Pelodiscus sinensis: one gene and its partner. Each later gene encodes a partner of the first gene's protein in a complex. Links are inferred from orthologs where the notes say so. Each region holds a gene or a part of one and is shown on either strand. Other genes may lie near its edges.

Region 1 (7,896 bases):
GGTACTCTGGCCTGTATGCCAATGGTGTAGTCGGGAGTTGTACGTTTCTTACAGAAATCATGGATTCTGTAGTCTGTTTTGTTCCCTCCTTCCTTATTGGTGTCTTGGGATTCTTTCTGGTGACTGAATGGAGGCAAGAGCAGTATTTGAACCAATTTCACTGTGAACCATGACAGCAGGAACTCTCCTGGTTTATTAGTGGTTTGTCTTGTGTGCATGCTTGGGAAAAGGCAGACCATGAACTCCAGGATGTCTCTACTTTACTATTTGGTGGTGTTTGCATGTTTGAAAAAAAAGTCCTGAAACTACTCACAATGAGATAGTGATTGCTACTTACTGTGAGCAATCCCCATGGCTTTATGGAAGTAAGCAATATACCACCCTGTGTTTGTGGGATTGAGCAACTTCTTGACTGGTTTCACATTTGAGCTGCACCCAGTATGGAAGCTAACATGTTTGAGTTCTTAGGGCTTGACTGAATGCTCATTGATGTTAATAGCAAAGCTCCATTGACTTTAACCATCCAGGATTGGGACTTTAACACATACTATTGCTGTCATTGGGCTCAAGGCTGTTTGATTTCCAGCTATTTGAAAATATGCCTTATTCTCAGGGTATTATTTGGCATTGCCTAGGCCTTTATCCTGCAAACACTTAAGCATACACTTAACTTTATTCACTGTATTTCTGTTTACCTCAGTGGAAGTAATTACAGTGTGTAAAGTTAAGCATGCTTGTAAGGGTTAAGCCATAATTTGAATTGTGTTTAATTTTAGGAGATAACTTTATGGTCCCCAAGCCCCCAAAATAATCTAAGTGGGAAACAAATGAAAATGCCTCTTGGGGTGTTTCCTTGATAAATCCTTAATGGTGAGTATCTTGGGTATAAATACTTTTCTCCTGCTGCCAAGAAAAGAGCTTTGACTATTTATAGCAAAACCTGTTCATTTTCCAGTGTGGTGTCCAATTTTTCCAGACAGTAGTTGTGTCAATGACATAATTAATGGGCTTGACTACTTTTAACACGGACTACTCTTTGACTTTCACTCTGTGTGTGGGCACCATCTTTGTATGGCACATACTGAATCAGCACTTTGTGAGACACTGAATGGCTCTGTAATTTGCCAACAGAAAAGCATCCAGAGCCTTTGAGTTGGAGATCTTGGTGCACTGCATGCTTGAGGCACAGGAACAACTTATTACCTAGGGATATAAGCTATTAGTTGAGCAGTTGACTACCCAATAAGCCTAGCGTAGGCTTATTGGGTAGTCAAGTCACTGCTTGACTAGTCGCTTCCCCCATCCTTGCTGCCTCTGTATCAGAGGAGCAAGGGGGAGGAGCGGGAGCCAGTGCTGGGGGGAGCTGGCTTAAAAGCTGGCTCCCCCCAGCGCTGTCTCTGGTGGGGGGCAGAGGTGCAGCAGGGGACCCAGTGCGATCTGAGACTGAGCAGTCCCAGCTCACGCTGACCAATGATGCAGGTTTCACTTCCTGGCCCAAACTAATTAGAGAAAGAAAGACAATCTAAGAACATTTCTGTGTAATAGTAATAAAGTCTTTGTGCTTGGGCTACAGCTCCTTTGAGTTTATTAGAAGAGGAAACGATGGTAACACCAGGGCCAAGTATCAATAAGAAAATGGGGGCAGAATTTAGTGGTTACATTAGAAGATTAATAGTCAAGACTCCTATTCTGGTCTCCGCTAATATGCTGTGTGACTCTGGGCACCTCATTTCTTCTGTTTTTCCTATTTGCAAAATGTGTACTGTAATTTCTCTCACTCTAAAATTATTTTTCTTGCGGGACGACAGTGACATCATCACATTACTCTGCATCCCGCCTGCCTACTCCTTCCTTCCCCACCCTTTCCCCAGTGCTCGGGAGCCAGGATTGCTGCACCGTGGCCTCCCTCTTCCCTGATGTTTGGGTGAGAGCTGGGGGGAGAGTGCAGGGTCAGGTGTAGCCAGACAGGAACCCCCTTGTAACATCCATTTTTGCTTGCCTGGAGCATACAGGGCACACAGAGCAGAAGGCCCAGGCTGTGTGACCGTGAATGGCTATAAACAGAGATATGCCAATTGCTGACCAAGAGGCTGCCAAGGAGTGCCCTTGACTTAACCCATATTGATACGAACACACATCCATCCGCGGGGGGAGGAATCTCTCGCCCAGTAAAAAAAATGTCTAGTGCTCACAATTTAGTTATCTCTCTTGCAAGTGTAAATTAACTTGAAACTTGCTTGTAAGAACTGGCGCCACAAAACGGACCAGTAGAATTCGGCATCTTAGATAAGAAAGAGAATACGGGCCCCCAGGGGTATAAAGATAGGTCCAGCAGCGCATTCTCTTTGAGTGTCAATCTACCATCTATCTGCTGGTCGGGTTAGGTGTTTGATCTCCCGAGGTTCCAAGGGGACGCCCACCTCGTATTCGTCTTTCCTAGGAATTGAGAGACCGGCCCTGGCCTGACACGCTGGAGTCGAGAGGCACAGAAAGGGGTAAAAATTGTACCTGGATGTGGTCCTTTGTTTAAGTATATATATACATAGACTTAGAGCTCTTTAAAGATTAAGCTGTCACTTGGTACCATTATTTCTATTTTCTATCTTTATTTTCTTTGTAACCATTTTTAAAATCTGTATTTGTTAGCATTTAAGAAATAGAGCAATAGCCATTGTAACCATATGCTTTTATAAGTCTTTTAATAAACCTGTAACTGTTTAAGCTTTAACCTGACTCCTTCAGTTGCTGTAACAGAATCAAGCACAATTTAAAAGAACTTCAGCCGGTCATAAAGGGACAGACATAGGGAGAGCTTGGGCATTTGGATCTGTGTCACTCCCAGGTGACAAGATCCGTTAGGGCACCTTTCCAGCCTTTCCCAGGCTGCCCGCTGCGAAGGAACCCCTGTGTTCTAGCAGTTAAGATCTAAGGTGTAATAAGCTCTTTCTATATAACGGGGCGTCTGTTGGCCTGCTGGCCACCCTCTGCGACGGGACCCCGGTCCTAGCAGTAAAGACACGGACGTTAAACCTTTTCTCGGAAGCATACACACACACACTGCCCTGACCGTCGGCTGACATCAGGTGAGACCTTGGCCCGGACCCTCTCCGACCTGATGACCAGGGGGAGAGCACGGGACCTGGTGAGGCCTCAGCCCTCCTCGGTGGCTGGGGAGAGGTGGGGGAGAGCTGGGGCTGGCACAGCTTGGGGGAGAAGGAGGTAGAGCCAAGGCTGGCTCTACTTTCCCTCTACCTTCCCTGATGGCTGGGGTCAGGGGGAGAGCTGGGGCTAGCCAGGACTGGTGTGGCTGGGGGCGGGGGAAGAGGATAGAGCTGGGCTTTCCCAATCTTCGCTCCCTGTCGGGCAGCTGGGGAGGGAGAGAGGTGGGGCTGGTGTGTCTGGAGGAAGGGAAGCACAATAGAATTGTTTTGAAAACAGTCACCATCACTAACTGCTTAATGCCATCTCCACCTGCCAATGGTGGCAAGCGTTGGAAGGACAGAAGCATAAAAGGTAGTGGTGTAAGAGTAGGGAAGCTGAAACTTTGCTCAGTGATGGGTTCATTGGTAACTTGGGAAGAGTTGAGGACTGCACTTCACTTGCATTTGCTCTCCCTTTTAATGTGGAATCCATTATAGTTCCTTGCAAGGTGGAGCAGAGTCTTCTAAGGCTGCCTCTCTTTCTTAAAAATCTATGTGGCCACATGCTGAATTGGATATATTTCTGGGTTGCAGGCCTCACATTGGCACTCGTTATATAGGCTTGACAACGAGGGTGCAGATATTGACCAGAAGAGGTCTAATCCAAGTGTAATTGCAGGAGTATATTCAGGCTTGTTACCATCATGCTGTTTGGTAGAAGTGTTATTAATGAATTCTGTTTAATACCTTCCTTATTTCTTCCCGGTTGCTTATCAAGTCTGTAATCTTCAATTGACTTTTAACCTCCATGAAATAGTGGCTTCTGCTACAGCTATGGCTAGCACATAATTAATTAAGATGGAACTAATAATTAACAGGAGAACTGGCTTATTGAGTTGGTTTAGTTATTGAGAGATGTATGGCATAAGCGGGGCGGCCCGTGAGTATAGGCCAACTTGGCTGTGGCCTACGGCGCCGCCTTCAACAGGGTCCCTGGGATGCCCAATGATGATGTCACGAGGCGCCCGGGGTGCCCAATGATGACGTCACGTCGTTGAGGGCTGTGCAGGCGGGGGTGCCAATCGCGCGTTCCGCCTGGGGCGCCAGCTGCCACAGCCCACCTCAGGCCACCCCTGGGCATAAGCACAATTTATACAATTGAGAGCCTTCTAAATTACCTATTCTCCTGGTCTGATGATAGTCTGGGTTACAAAATTAAATGCAAAATGGAAGCAATGCTACTATATGTCTCATACCTTGCTTTAGTCTTCAGTGTAACAGGTGAGGGGAAAATTATAACTTCAGTTATCTTGGTGCATAAAGGTTCTTCCAATTCATGTTTTCAGTGTACCTGTAGTTAAATGAAAACTGCAGGTTTGTAATGTAGTTTTAAATAGGGAAAAGTGTAACGTGTATTTTCTGTAAGATTTGAGATATTTGCATATGAGCTCCTTATTGAAAACAGATAAGACAAATAAATCATTCATTGGTACTGGAATTACTTATGTTTTCTAGTTTCTCCATTTGATTATCACAAGACAGTGGGTTCTGCCATTTTTTTTTAGTGTCTTAAACAAAAAAACACACTCACTCTTTGTGTCCCTGGAGAAATAAGCTAAAATATGGTGAATCACTTAAACAATGAAGCAATTCATTGCCCCAGCCTGGCTTGTCACACGTTTTCCTTGCAGATTTTCATGGGTTATTAATGCATATCTTTAAAAGAAGATGATCTTAGTAGTTATGTTGCAGAGATAAGAGAGAGAGGCCGCGGCTGGCCTAGTTGTTACTGCAGACCAAGTGTGAACAAAGTGGAAATACTCTTCACTCCAAGTAAATTCCTTTCACATGAAAAGGAAACTATGACTGAGGTGCAAGATGCTGGAAGCGTGTACCACCAGAGGTACTGGGTGGTGGTAGATGATTTAGACTATATGTACATTAAAGTAAGTGTAATCTGTTGACTTTTTTCATGTTCTTTGTTTTAATAAAATCGAAACCTTTTGATATGGATACGCAGTCTCTGTGTTTGTACCAGTGCTTAATGAAAGTTTAGTTTTGATTTATTCTGATTCATTGTTAATAGCAACAAGATTCTTTCAAACATGACAGATGATGGTTTTATGGTTTGGGACTGGGTCTCTTTTTTGTTGGTTTCTTTTTAAATATCTCATGGGTTTTTTTCCCCAATAAGAGACATTAGCGCTTGTGGTATTGTATGTCAGTGTGTAATATTTGTTTTTATTATCTGTTTATTATAATGGGATTCATGCCACAGCAATCTCAGATAATGAAAGGCAACACAACATTGACTTGGTGACAGTAGCTGAATATACAGTATTTGTGAAGAAAAGGAATATAACTACTTATTGAAATATGGTACTGAATGAAATGCATCAGGAATCCAAATAGATGCATACTAACTTTTTAACAGTCACTTTTAATGTGGGTGGATAGCTCTAAATATTATTGTGACTCTTCCTATTTTATCAGACCGTTGAAGGTTCTGTGGGCTAGAATCTGATTCCAGTTTATGCTGGTGTAAACTGGGGTAACTCACTTATTAACAGTGGTATGTAGCAAAACAAGGTGCAGTCAGCTTGTGTGCTTCCCGGCGCAGCAACAAAGTGTATAACTAAGCACATTTTGGTCCCTTAGGGCTTTATCAAGGTGTGGCTTAAAAAGATGTTTTCAAAAGAATGGAATGTATGCGGAAAAAGTCCTCCAGCAAATAGGATGTGAGACTGTATCAGGTTTTGTCCTACTCTTATTTTTACATGCTAGTGCAAGTGGGTCATCAGATTAAAATAAACCAGGTAAAAATGTTGGCAGTTAGAATAAATGGTTTCTGAGCCTGGAAAGAAGAGTGGGGAGAGATGCACAGAATGCTGGGTGCAGAGCCAAGGTATAGATGATTGTGTGTCTTCCTCTGACCCCATGTTTTAAAACTTTGTTCTGGGCATTATCAAGATGGGACAAGTATCGCGTGCACTAGCATGTGTTTTATGGAAATCTGCCCAGACTGTTCCTCCGTGACTCAGAATGTGCTATGTCACAGGTGGCTATGCCTTAGAGTTCTGAATTGATATTATCTGTTAGTGGCTGTAATTGAGCTTCACTGTGTGGCAACAAGGTACACATGGCTTATTTTGAAAGGTTCACCGCTCTTCCCATGAGCCCGACAGCATCTTTGCTTAGCTCTCAAGTTAAAGTAATTTAATAGCCAGGATTTGCTGCACTGCTGTTTTAACCTTAGCACTATACACATACCTTTGTGGTTTAGTTCAGGTTTTACTGTAGTGAAAGTTGTGTCTGAGTAAAAAATGAGGGAAGCCCTCAGGATTTACTCACAAATTTGTAAGAAGACGTTTGGGAAAGTGCAATCTTTTCCTTGGTATTTTAACTGTTAGGTTATCCTAATGTAAAATCTAATGTTTCTCTTTACATGTGCACGTTCCCTTGTTTTTATCCTAACAGTTTATCAGTTTTCCATAGTCCAGAAGCTTTGCAAACATTTATGAATGTCGCCTCTAATAAGCCTGCAGGATAGGCTATCAGTTACTGCTCCAAATTTCCTTGAATAACTTCAGTTTCTCGCTTCTAGTGCTATAGTACACTGGGGTGCAGTATGATCACTATAACCCTTTATTTTCTCTTCCTGCCCTGTTAAATTCTGGACGTGCCAACTAATCCCATTAGAACATTGCAGATGGCTCAGTGCTAAATCAGTAGCAATGATACAAAAGAAGTGATTTCCACTTCCTGTATCTATGAACCAAGGGTTAACAGACAGATGCATTCACCACTGTCTATGTTCTCCATCCCCCCATCTGGAAGGCTCTGTAAGCAGGACATTGGCTCATAGCTGTTGGCAGAGTGAGTCAGTTCAGTTGTCTCATCAGCCTTTCCTGTACAGGTGAACTTGAAAGCTTTTTTGAAGGGGGGAGGGGAGAGGAATCTGTTTGAAGAGCCTTAAAATTAGTAATAGAATTTGGTGGTAAGGAGGAATCAATATAATTTTTATATTAAAAATGTTTTAACTTAGAGCCTTTCATTTTAATATAAAGACCTGATTTGAAGGTTCTGTACTACCCCTGCAAGAATCCATGACACTGTTAACAACTAAAGCAGAGAAGAGAAACACAGGGCTTCTATTTTGAGGATGTCATTTGGCAATTAACTTGAAGGTCTTGACAGGTGAGAGGAGGTGTGTTAAGACCCCCTTCTCTTTCACCTGACAAGATCTGAGTCAAAAGAATATTGTAAGAGTAACATTTTGACTTGAATTAGGTTGTTATAATTTGTGCAAATTTTTAATGCCCGTGAATGGTGTTTGGTAGTCTTGGACACTGAAGTTTTCTACATAGCTACAGTGATACCTAACCTAGATCCAAAGAGAGCATTGCTATTCATTCCTGGGCCTCTTAGATGAGAGTGCCATCCATGTTGCCTATTGGTAGCAGTTGTGGTACATCTTCTGATGGGAATATCAGAGCTAGTTTTCAGAGGACAGAACATCCCACTCATTACTGAATACCAAAGAGCCCACAGATGGTAATGAGTGTCAGTCATTATTGACTTGACTGTGGATTTGGACTAATGGCGTGATTTTTAGTATTTAGCTGTAAACCTATACATTCTTTAAATTTGTGGTTTTAACAAGTTGTTTCACTTCTCTTTTTAGAACTAACTTCTTTGCGTCTTAAAGTGAAGCTACTTAAAGAGTTAACCCTGAAACACTGACTGTATAATCCTA
Region 2 (7,790 bases), on another chromosome or scaffold:
CCACGCAGCACAGCAGCATCGCTCCTCAGGGACCGTAGCTGTGATGCAATTCTTGGCCTCGTTCCCACGGACAATAGCAGCACCGCCTGTGGGCAAAACCGGCCAGAGCATCCGAATGATTTAATGAACCCGGGCGAACGTATTTTCTGTGGTGTGTTGAAAAGCAGCTTCCTTTTGCATCTGAGCACATAGTGATTTCATAGTGATTGCATCTGAGCACATAGTGATTTCATAGTGATTGCATCTGAGCACATAGTGATTTCACTGGCGATTGGCCTGGAACAGGCTCAGCCAGTTTTTGGAGGGTTGTGTGAAGAATTTTCAGTCAATATTACCCGAGTAACAACCCAGCCTCCTCCCAGTTCAGCGCGGAGGTAAACGCACGGCTCTGGGCCCGGCAAGGTGCCTTTCTGTTGTGTCAGAGGCAAAGAGCTGCACATTAGTGACGTGCGTTTGCATAAGGCACCTCATTTGTGTATAACTGTTTGTACAGGGAGCCCGCGCCGGCTGATCGCTGCCGGTGTTTATCCTCCCAAGTGTCAGGAGGAGGAGGAACTCACAGGTGGCCCAGGCGCGATAATTGGAATTGCTCAGCTAACTGCCACTTGAATCACCCTGATAATAAGAGTGTGCAAGGGTCAGTGTGTGACAGGCCAGGTGTGGCTGCCTGGAAGCTGTTGTAGTCAAGCGGAGGGCCTTGTGCATGAATTCCAGGAGTGAGGCTGTCACACAGCCAGCACAGGCTGCATGGGGGCTGCTTTTTAACCAGAAGTGATCTGATTTCCCCTCACCTAGCTTGAGAAGGCCGGTGGTCTCAAGCAGGACATTCTAGGGCTGAGAATATGAAGTCCCGACTGTCTCTGCTCTGCACACTCCAGCCGTGATTCAGGCTCTCCCTGTCAGCTTCCCCCTCTGGAAAAGCAGGCGAACACCCCACCGGGTCAAGGCAGACAGTAACACGGCCGTGTTTGTACAGCGCTTTGACAATGAAAAGTGCTATACAAGAATGATTACCATGATCCCTATTATTACAGGCATGCTAGCCTCTTGGTGCTGGCTTGAGACACTCACCAAACTGCAAACAACTTCTATGGGCATGGGGTGTCATTATAGACCATAAAACTACCCACGTTACGAAATGTGTCTTTGGAAGAGACACTGACCTCCTGGCTCACGGCTGGGTAATTAGCATAACCCAATAAAGTTCAAAGTTTACACATGTAGTGTAGCCCTCTCTGAGTCTTTGAATTTGTGTGCTAGCGTCTGCCGTTGCTGGCCAGATTGGGCCCTTCTTGACAGTGGCTGGAGAAAGATACATGGAAGGGCTAAGATTACTGGCAACTATAGCTCAAGAGTCCAACTGATTGGCACACCCCGTCTTGTGATCATCTAGATTTTGAATTTGTTCAGTATTGCTGTAGCCTGACCTCTCTCCAGGTCCATGTGACAAGTGCCCAACGTTTTACTGTCTTACTAAGCAACTTCCGGGTAATCGTGTATCTTTCTTCTCCAGACAGTGTTATATTCCCTTAATATTAAAGATGAGAGACAACCAGGGAAGAACAAGGATTCAGATGAAGCATCATGTCCTCACATGCCCCAGTATGGTGTGTATGGCCATTTTCTGCTTAGACACTACAGGGAACTGGTCATTCCCATTATTAATGATAATTACTGTGCTTTCACCCTTCCACATGCATGCATTCCGTGCGCTTTGTCTCCACTTTCCCATAATATCGTTTTGTCGGTGAATTTCTTAACTCACAGATTACTACCCGCCAGTTTCCAACCCAAAGAGCTAGAAAATCTGTGGAGCGAAATACTTGGAAGTCTCTGGGTTAAATGCAATAGAAGCCTTCGGCCCCAGGCCTGTGTTCTAGGGTCAACCAACTTTCCTGCTCTTCAAAGGAGTTAAAGCTGTTTTCCTCCATGAACCCAGAGACCTCAGATTTTGTTCATGGCGGGGGTTTAAAAAGAGCCAGAGAGGGGATCCCCAGATGCCCTATCTCCCGCCCCCCCAGCCAGAGTGGTGGGTTTCAGGGCCCCCCTGCGGCACTGCCACCAAGCCCTGCCAATGCGGGTTTCCAATGGACAAGCCTGACACCCCGGGTCACAGCGTCCCAGCGGCGCAAGGTCATTTGGCTGCGTTGCAATCCGGCTGGGCAGGGCTGGCTGCTCCACCTGCCGCCCGGCCTGCAGGCATCTCGGAGGTCGCTCCGGCCGGCCGCGGGGCTGCCCCGGGCAGTGCCCAGTCTGCTGGAACTCCCGGGCCCTCTCACAGCTCCGGGGCAATGGGCCTAGGCGCACCCCACAGGCCCTGGGGCCGGCGGAGCAGGGCTGGGAGCCACAGCCGGGAAGCCACCGCGCCCCTCGGCCGCTGCGCCCCGGAGAAGCAGCTGCCCAGGGGGAGGGGCCGGGCGCCCCCTGCAAAGGACGGGGCGGGAGCTGGGACGTGGGGCCGGGTCAGCAGGCGGTGAGACCCCCCCCTCCCCGGGGTCCCCGCCAGGAGCTCCCCGCGCAGCCCGGCCTGGCTCGGCCTCGCCCCCCCGGCGGCTCTGGAAAATTCCCCTCCGGAGGGAGCGATCCATGGCTGCGGAGCCGGCCGCACGCGCGGGGACCCCGGGACCCCCCGCTAGCCCCCAGCGCTCGTCTCGGCATGGGGGGCCCGAAGCCACCGGCCCGGGGGACACTCACCGGCCGCGCCCTGCGCCCCGCGGGCGGTCACCGCCCCATCCTTGTGCAGCAGGATGTCCGCCGTGTCCCGGATCCGGCCCGCCGGCCCCCCGCGGCAGCACTGGTAGCACACGGCCCACGCCTGCTCCTCGTTGATGGGCTGCTCGTAGGACTTCAGCACCTCCTCCAGGGACAGCGCCCCGGGGCCCCCCGCGCCGCTGCCGCCCGCCTGGGCCATGGCCGCCCCATCACGGGCCCGGGCGCGCCGGGCTGCTTGCCATGGCAGCGGCGCCGGGCGGCCGCGGCAGGAGGGGGAGGGCTGCGCCCGGCTCGCCGCTGCTTTGTCATCCCTGCAGCCCAGCCCTCGGCCCGGCGGGCGGGCGGGGCGGCAGCCTGTGGACCGCCCAGGTGCGGGCGGGGTCAGTGCGCACGCGGGTGGGGCGCCCCGGGGTGCGCCTGGGGCCTGGGCGGCCGCTGGGGGCGCCCCTTGCCGGGAGAGCCGCAGGTGGCGGGCCGGGGTTAGCCACGCCCCGGGGCGGGGGAGGGAAAGCGGCTGCAGGGGCCAAGCCCGGGCCGGGAAATGCCCGCGCTGGTCCTCGGGGTGTGCCGTTCCTGGCCCCCCCCCAGGGCTCCTGGGCACCTCTGCAGGGCTGCACCCAGGGGCGGCCCTAGACTAGCTGCCAGCACCTGGCGCCCTGGGCGAACCATGCGATGGCACCCCTCCCCCCCAAACCCCTCCATGATGTTGGGCCACCATTTGGCGCCCCATTTAACTTGGCGCCCTAGGCCACTGCCCAGTTCGCCTCTATGGACGGGCCGCCCCTGGCTGCACCCACCGTCCCACACCCTGCCCCTGGCCTGAGCCTCCACCCTCCCGCTGGTGCACGGGCAACGTCGCCCACCTGCAGAGCGTGTTTTTCATTGAGAGCTTCAGCACGCCTGCCCACCAGCCCCCGCTCCCCTCAGTCCTCTGCCCCTCTCGCCCTCCCTGCCCCCGCTAACCCACACAGTGGGGTCACCCCGCCTAGAGCGACCCTGCAATTAAAAACCCGGAGCCGGAGCCCCGTGAGGTGGGAGGCCCCGTCTTGCGGGCTCCAAGTGAACAGTCCCTTAGCGGGAGCTTTGTGCACCTGAGTCAGCCAGCACAGGCCAGCCCCGGGGTCTAACCGCAGTGTCGACGCCCCCCTGCAGCTTTGTAAATTCCTCAAGGAAGGGACACTGGCCTTTCTGTTGGGCAGCTCCTCAGACACACCCGGCACTGTTAAACACACACACTAGTACAGGAGTGCCCTGCCCACGAGCACCCATCTAATCCCACCCTCCTTAATCCCTTTACATATCCATGGGCAGGCCCTGACATTCCTTGCAAAGTCATAAGAACAGAAGACTGGCCAGACTGGGTCAGACCGAAGATCCTTCCAGCCTAGTATCCTGTCTGCCAACAGTGGCCAATGCCAGGTGCCCCAGGGGGAGTGAATCGAACAGGGAATGATCAAGCGATCTCTCTCCTGCCATCCATCTCCACCCTCTGGCGAACAGAGTCTAGGGACACCATTCCTTACCCATACTGGCTAATAGCCATTGATGGACCTAACCTCCATGAACTTATCTAGTTCTCTTTTAAACCCTGTTATAGTCCTAGCCTTCACAGCCTCCTCAGGCAAGGAGTTCCACAGATTGACTATGCATTGTGTGAAGAAGAACTTCCTTTTCTTTGTTTTAAACCTGCTGCCCATTAGTTTAATTTGGTGGCCCCTAGTTCTTATATTATAGGAACAAGTAAATAACTTTTCCTTATTCACTTTCTCCACACCACTCATGATTTTATAGACCTCTAGCATATCCCCCCTCCATCTCCTCTTTTCTAACCTTAAAAGTCCCAGTCTGTTTAATCTCTCCTCATATGGGTCCTGTTCCAAATGCCTAATCATTTTAGTTGCCCTTCTCTGAACCTTTTCTAATGCCGGTATATCTTTTTTGAGATGAGGAGACCACATCTGTACGCAGATCTGTGGGCGTACCATGGATTTATATAAGGGCAATAAGATATTCTCCGTCTTATTCTCTATCCCTTTTATAATGATTCCTAACATCCTGTTTGCTTTTTTGACTGCCGCTGCCCACTGCATGGACATCTTCAGAGAACTATCCAGGATGACTCCAAGATCTCTTTCCTGATTAGTTGTAGCTAAATTAGCCCCCATCACGTTATATGTATAGCTGGGCTTATTTTTCCCGATGTGCATTACTTTACATTTTGCCACCTTAAATTTCATTTGCCATTTTGTTGCCCAGTCACTCAGGGTATGTCTACACTACAATGTTAGTTCGAACTAACGGACGTTAGTTCGAACTAACATTCATAGCCGCTACACTAGCGCGCCGCTAGTTCGAATTTAAATCGAACTAGTGGAGCACTTAGTTCGAACTAGGAAAACCTCATTTTACGAGGATTAAGCCTAGTTCGAATTTACTAGTTCGAATTAAGGGGTGTGTAGCCCCTTAATTTGAACTAGTGGGAGGCTAGCCCTCACCAGCTTTCCCTGGTGGCCACTCTGGCCAACACCAGGGAAACTCTATGCCCCCCTCCCGGCCCCGGACCCCTTAAAGGGGCACGGGCTGGCTACGGTGCCCGTGCCAGGTGCAAGCCTGCCAGCACCCAGCCAGCAGACCCTGCACCTGGCACGGCACAGAGCCACCCACCCGATGTCCCCCAGCCCACCCCCTCTTCCCGGGACCAGGCTGGCGGCTCCCGGGAGCTTGCCCTGGACCGCAAGAGGTGGGCACCTTCCTGGGCTAGTGCGGACATCGTGGACCTCGTCCACGATCTCCGCACTAGGCACAGGAAAGTGGCCAGCTAGGGCAGGAGAGCTGCCAGCCTGGCCACCCAGGAGCAGGTGTGCATGAAAATCAAGGGGGTCCACTGAGACCCCCGACCCTGAGCCCTGAGCTTACAATGACCGTACTGGGTCAGACCAAAGGTCCATCTAGCCCAGTAGCCTGTCTGCCGACAGCGGCCAACCCTAGGGACCCTGGAGGGGATGGACCGAAGACAGTGACCAAGCCATTTGTCTTGTGCCATCCCTCTCCAGCCTTCCACAAACTTTGGGCAGGGACACCACTCCTATCCCCTGGCTAAGACTACTCCATGGACCCAACCTCCATGACTTGATCTCACTTCCCTTTAAACTCTGTTCTAGTTGTAGCCTTCACAGCCTCCTGCAGCAAGGAGTTCCACAGGTTAACTATTTGCTTTGTCAAGAACAACAACTTTCTCTTACTAGTTTCAAGCCTGCTACCCATTCCTTTCCTTTGGTGTCCCTTAGTCCTTCTTTATGGGAACTCAGGAAGAACTTTTATGAATGCACCCTCTCCACCCAACCCCTGCTTTTAGAGACCTCTATCCTGTCCCCGCTCCATCTCCTCTTTTCTAAGCTGAACAGTCCCAGTCTCTGTAGCCTCTCTTCATCTGGGACCTGTTCCCAACCCCTGATCGTGTTAGTTGCCCTCCCCTCTCCCAGCCTTTCTCTTCCCCTCTCCCACCTCCTTTTCCCAGTCTCCCCCAGTTTTGTTCAATAAAGACAGAATCAATGTTGGAAGAAACGTTATCTTTATTTTGTACATCAATAAGAAGGGGGGCTAGGGAAGGGTAAGTGGAAGGAGGTGAGGGAGGAATGGGGTACGAGCCCCCGATGGGGAGGACTGGGCTGGCTCTGCAGGCTTCTGGGGGTGGAAGCTCTCCTGCAGCCCCCCGATTGCTCCCTCTCCCCAGATGGCAGCCTGCGGCAAGTGCAGCCGGGCTGATGTCCGAGTGGTGTGATGTGCCCAGTGTGGGTACTCCGGGCACTCCAAGCCAGGACTGCTTTGGAAGCGGGGCACCCCTGAGAACTGTCTGTCCGGGGTGGGGGTCGGGACCCTTTAAGCGCAGCCCTCGGCTAGCCTGAGACAGCATCTCCACGCTCTAAGTCCTCCTCTGATGCCCTGCCGGCACTGCTTCCGGCCATCCTTAAGCCCTGTTCAGAGTCCACTCAATGTGGACTTGCTAGTTTGAATTAGCAAAACGCTAATTCGAACTAGTTTTTAGTTCTAGACGCGTTAGTTCGAATTAGCTTAGTTCGAATTAACTAATTCCAACTAAGTTAGTTCGAACTAACTCTGTAGTGTAGACATACCCTCATTTTGGTGAGATCTTTTTGAAGTTCTTCACAGTCTGCTTTGGTCTTAACTACCTTGAGCAGTTTAGTATCGTCTGCAAACTTTGCCACCTCACTGTTTATCCCTTTCTCCAGATCATTTATGAATAAGTTGAATAGGATTGGTCCTAGGACTGACCCTTGGGGGACACCACTAGTTACCCCTCTCCATTCTGAAAATGTACCCTTTGTTTCCTGTCTTTTAACCAGTGAAAGGATCTTCCCTCTTATCCCATGGCAACTTAATTTACGTAATAGCCTTTGGTGAGGGACCTTGTCAAAGGCTTTCTGGAAATCTAAGTACACTATATCCACTGGATCCCCCTTGTCCACATGTTTGTTGACTCCTTCAAAGAACTCTAAGGCTATGTCTCCTTGCGCAAGGAGCCCTCTCTTACCACGCCGTACTGTAAATTTCCTTGCGCAATTGCGGGCGGGCAGTGTGGACGCTCTGCAGATTCTTGCACAAGAACGCCCGTACTTGCTCAAGAAGCCGTGAGTGTAGACATAGCCTAATAGATTAGTAAGACAGGATTTCCCTTTACAGAAACCATGTTGACTTTTGCCCAACAAATTATGTTCTTCTACATGTCTGACAATTTTATTCTTTACTATTGTTTCAACTAATTTGCCCAGTACTGACATTAGGGCCGTAGTCTCTATGGCAATAAGTCAAGGCCATTGTCTCTATTGCCTACAGCAACTGGCCAAAGCACAGAGCAACAGGCCTATAGCGTTCTGGGCCAGGAAGTGCAGCAGCAGTCTGGATGCAGGGTGGGCTAGGATGGTACAGTATAACCCCCATCTGGGTTTGTCTAGGACTCACTTGAGCATTGTAGGTTCTCGGCGTGCACAGCGCAGGACCTCTGCTTTGCTTTTCATCTGAAAGCCAAGCATCTTGCTCTGCGGAACGCTCTCTCCCTA

Evidence for each region.
Region 2: the proteins of MYO5A (region 1) and SPIRE2 are in contact, whole or in part, in a crystal structure (PDB 5JCY), measured with the Homo sapiens proteins. The link is inferred for Pelodiscus sinensis from reciprocal best matches to the Homo sapiens genes MYO5A and SPIRE2. Residues at the interface, in NP_001369276.1 of Homo sapiens: Asp1551, Val1554, Arg1555, Thr1559, Ile1562, Asn1563, Lys1566, Ser1597, Gly1598, Leu1615, Thr1616, Asn1617, Phe1618, Asp1619, Leu1620, Ala1621, Glu1622, Tyr1623, Val1626, Asp1629, Leu1630, Gln1633; in NP_115827.1 of Homo sapiens: Arg404, Pro405, Arg406, Val407, Leu408, Leu409, Lys410, Ala411, Pro412, Thr413, Leu414, Met417, Glu418, Met420.

What each region holds. Positions count from the first base shown.
Region 1 is NC_134724.1:25,553,366-25,561,261, reverse strand, and holds the start of MYO5A (unconventional myosin-Va), read left to right. Parts: upstream 1-4,883; 5' UTR 4,884-5,002; coding exon 5,003-5,086; intron 5,087-7,896. UniProt on the Homo sapiens protein: Processive actin-based motor that can move in large steps approximating the 36-nm pseudo-repeat of the actin filament. Can hydrolyze ATP in the presence of actin, which is essential for its function as a motor protein. Involved in melanosome transport.
Region 2 is NC_134722.1:2,370,359-2,378,148, forward strand, and holds the start of SPIRE2 (protein spire homolog 2), read right to left. Parts: upstream 3,014-7,790; 5' UTR 2,912-3,013; coding exon 2,695-2,911; intron 1-2,694. UniProt on the Homo sapiens protein: Acts as an actin nucleation factor, remains associated with the slow-growing pointed end of the new filament.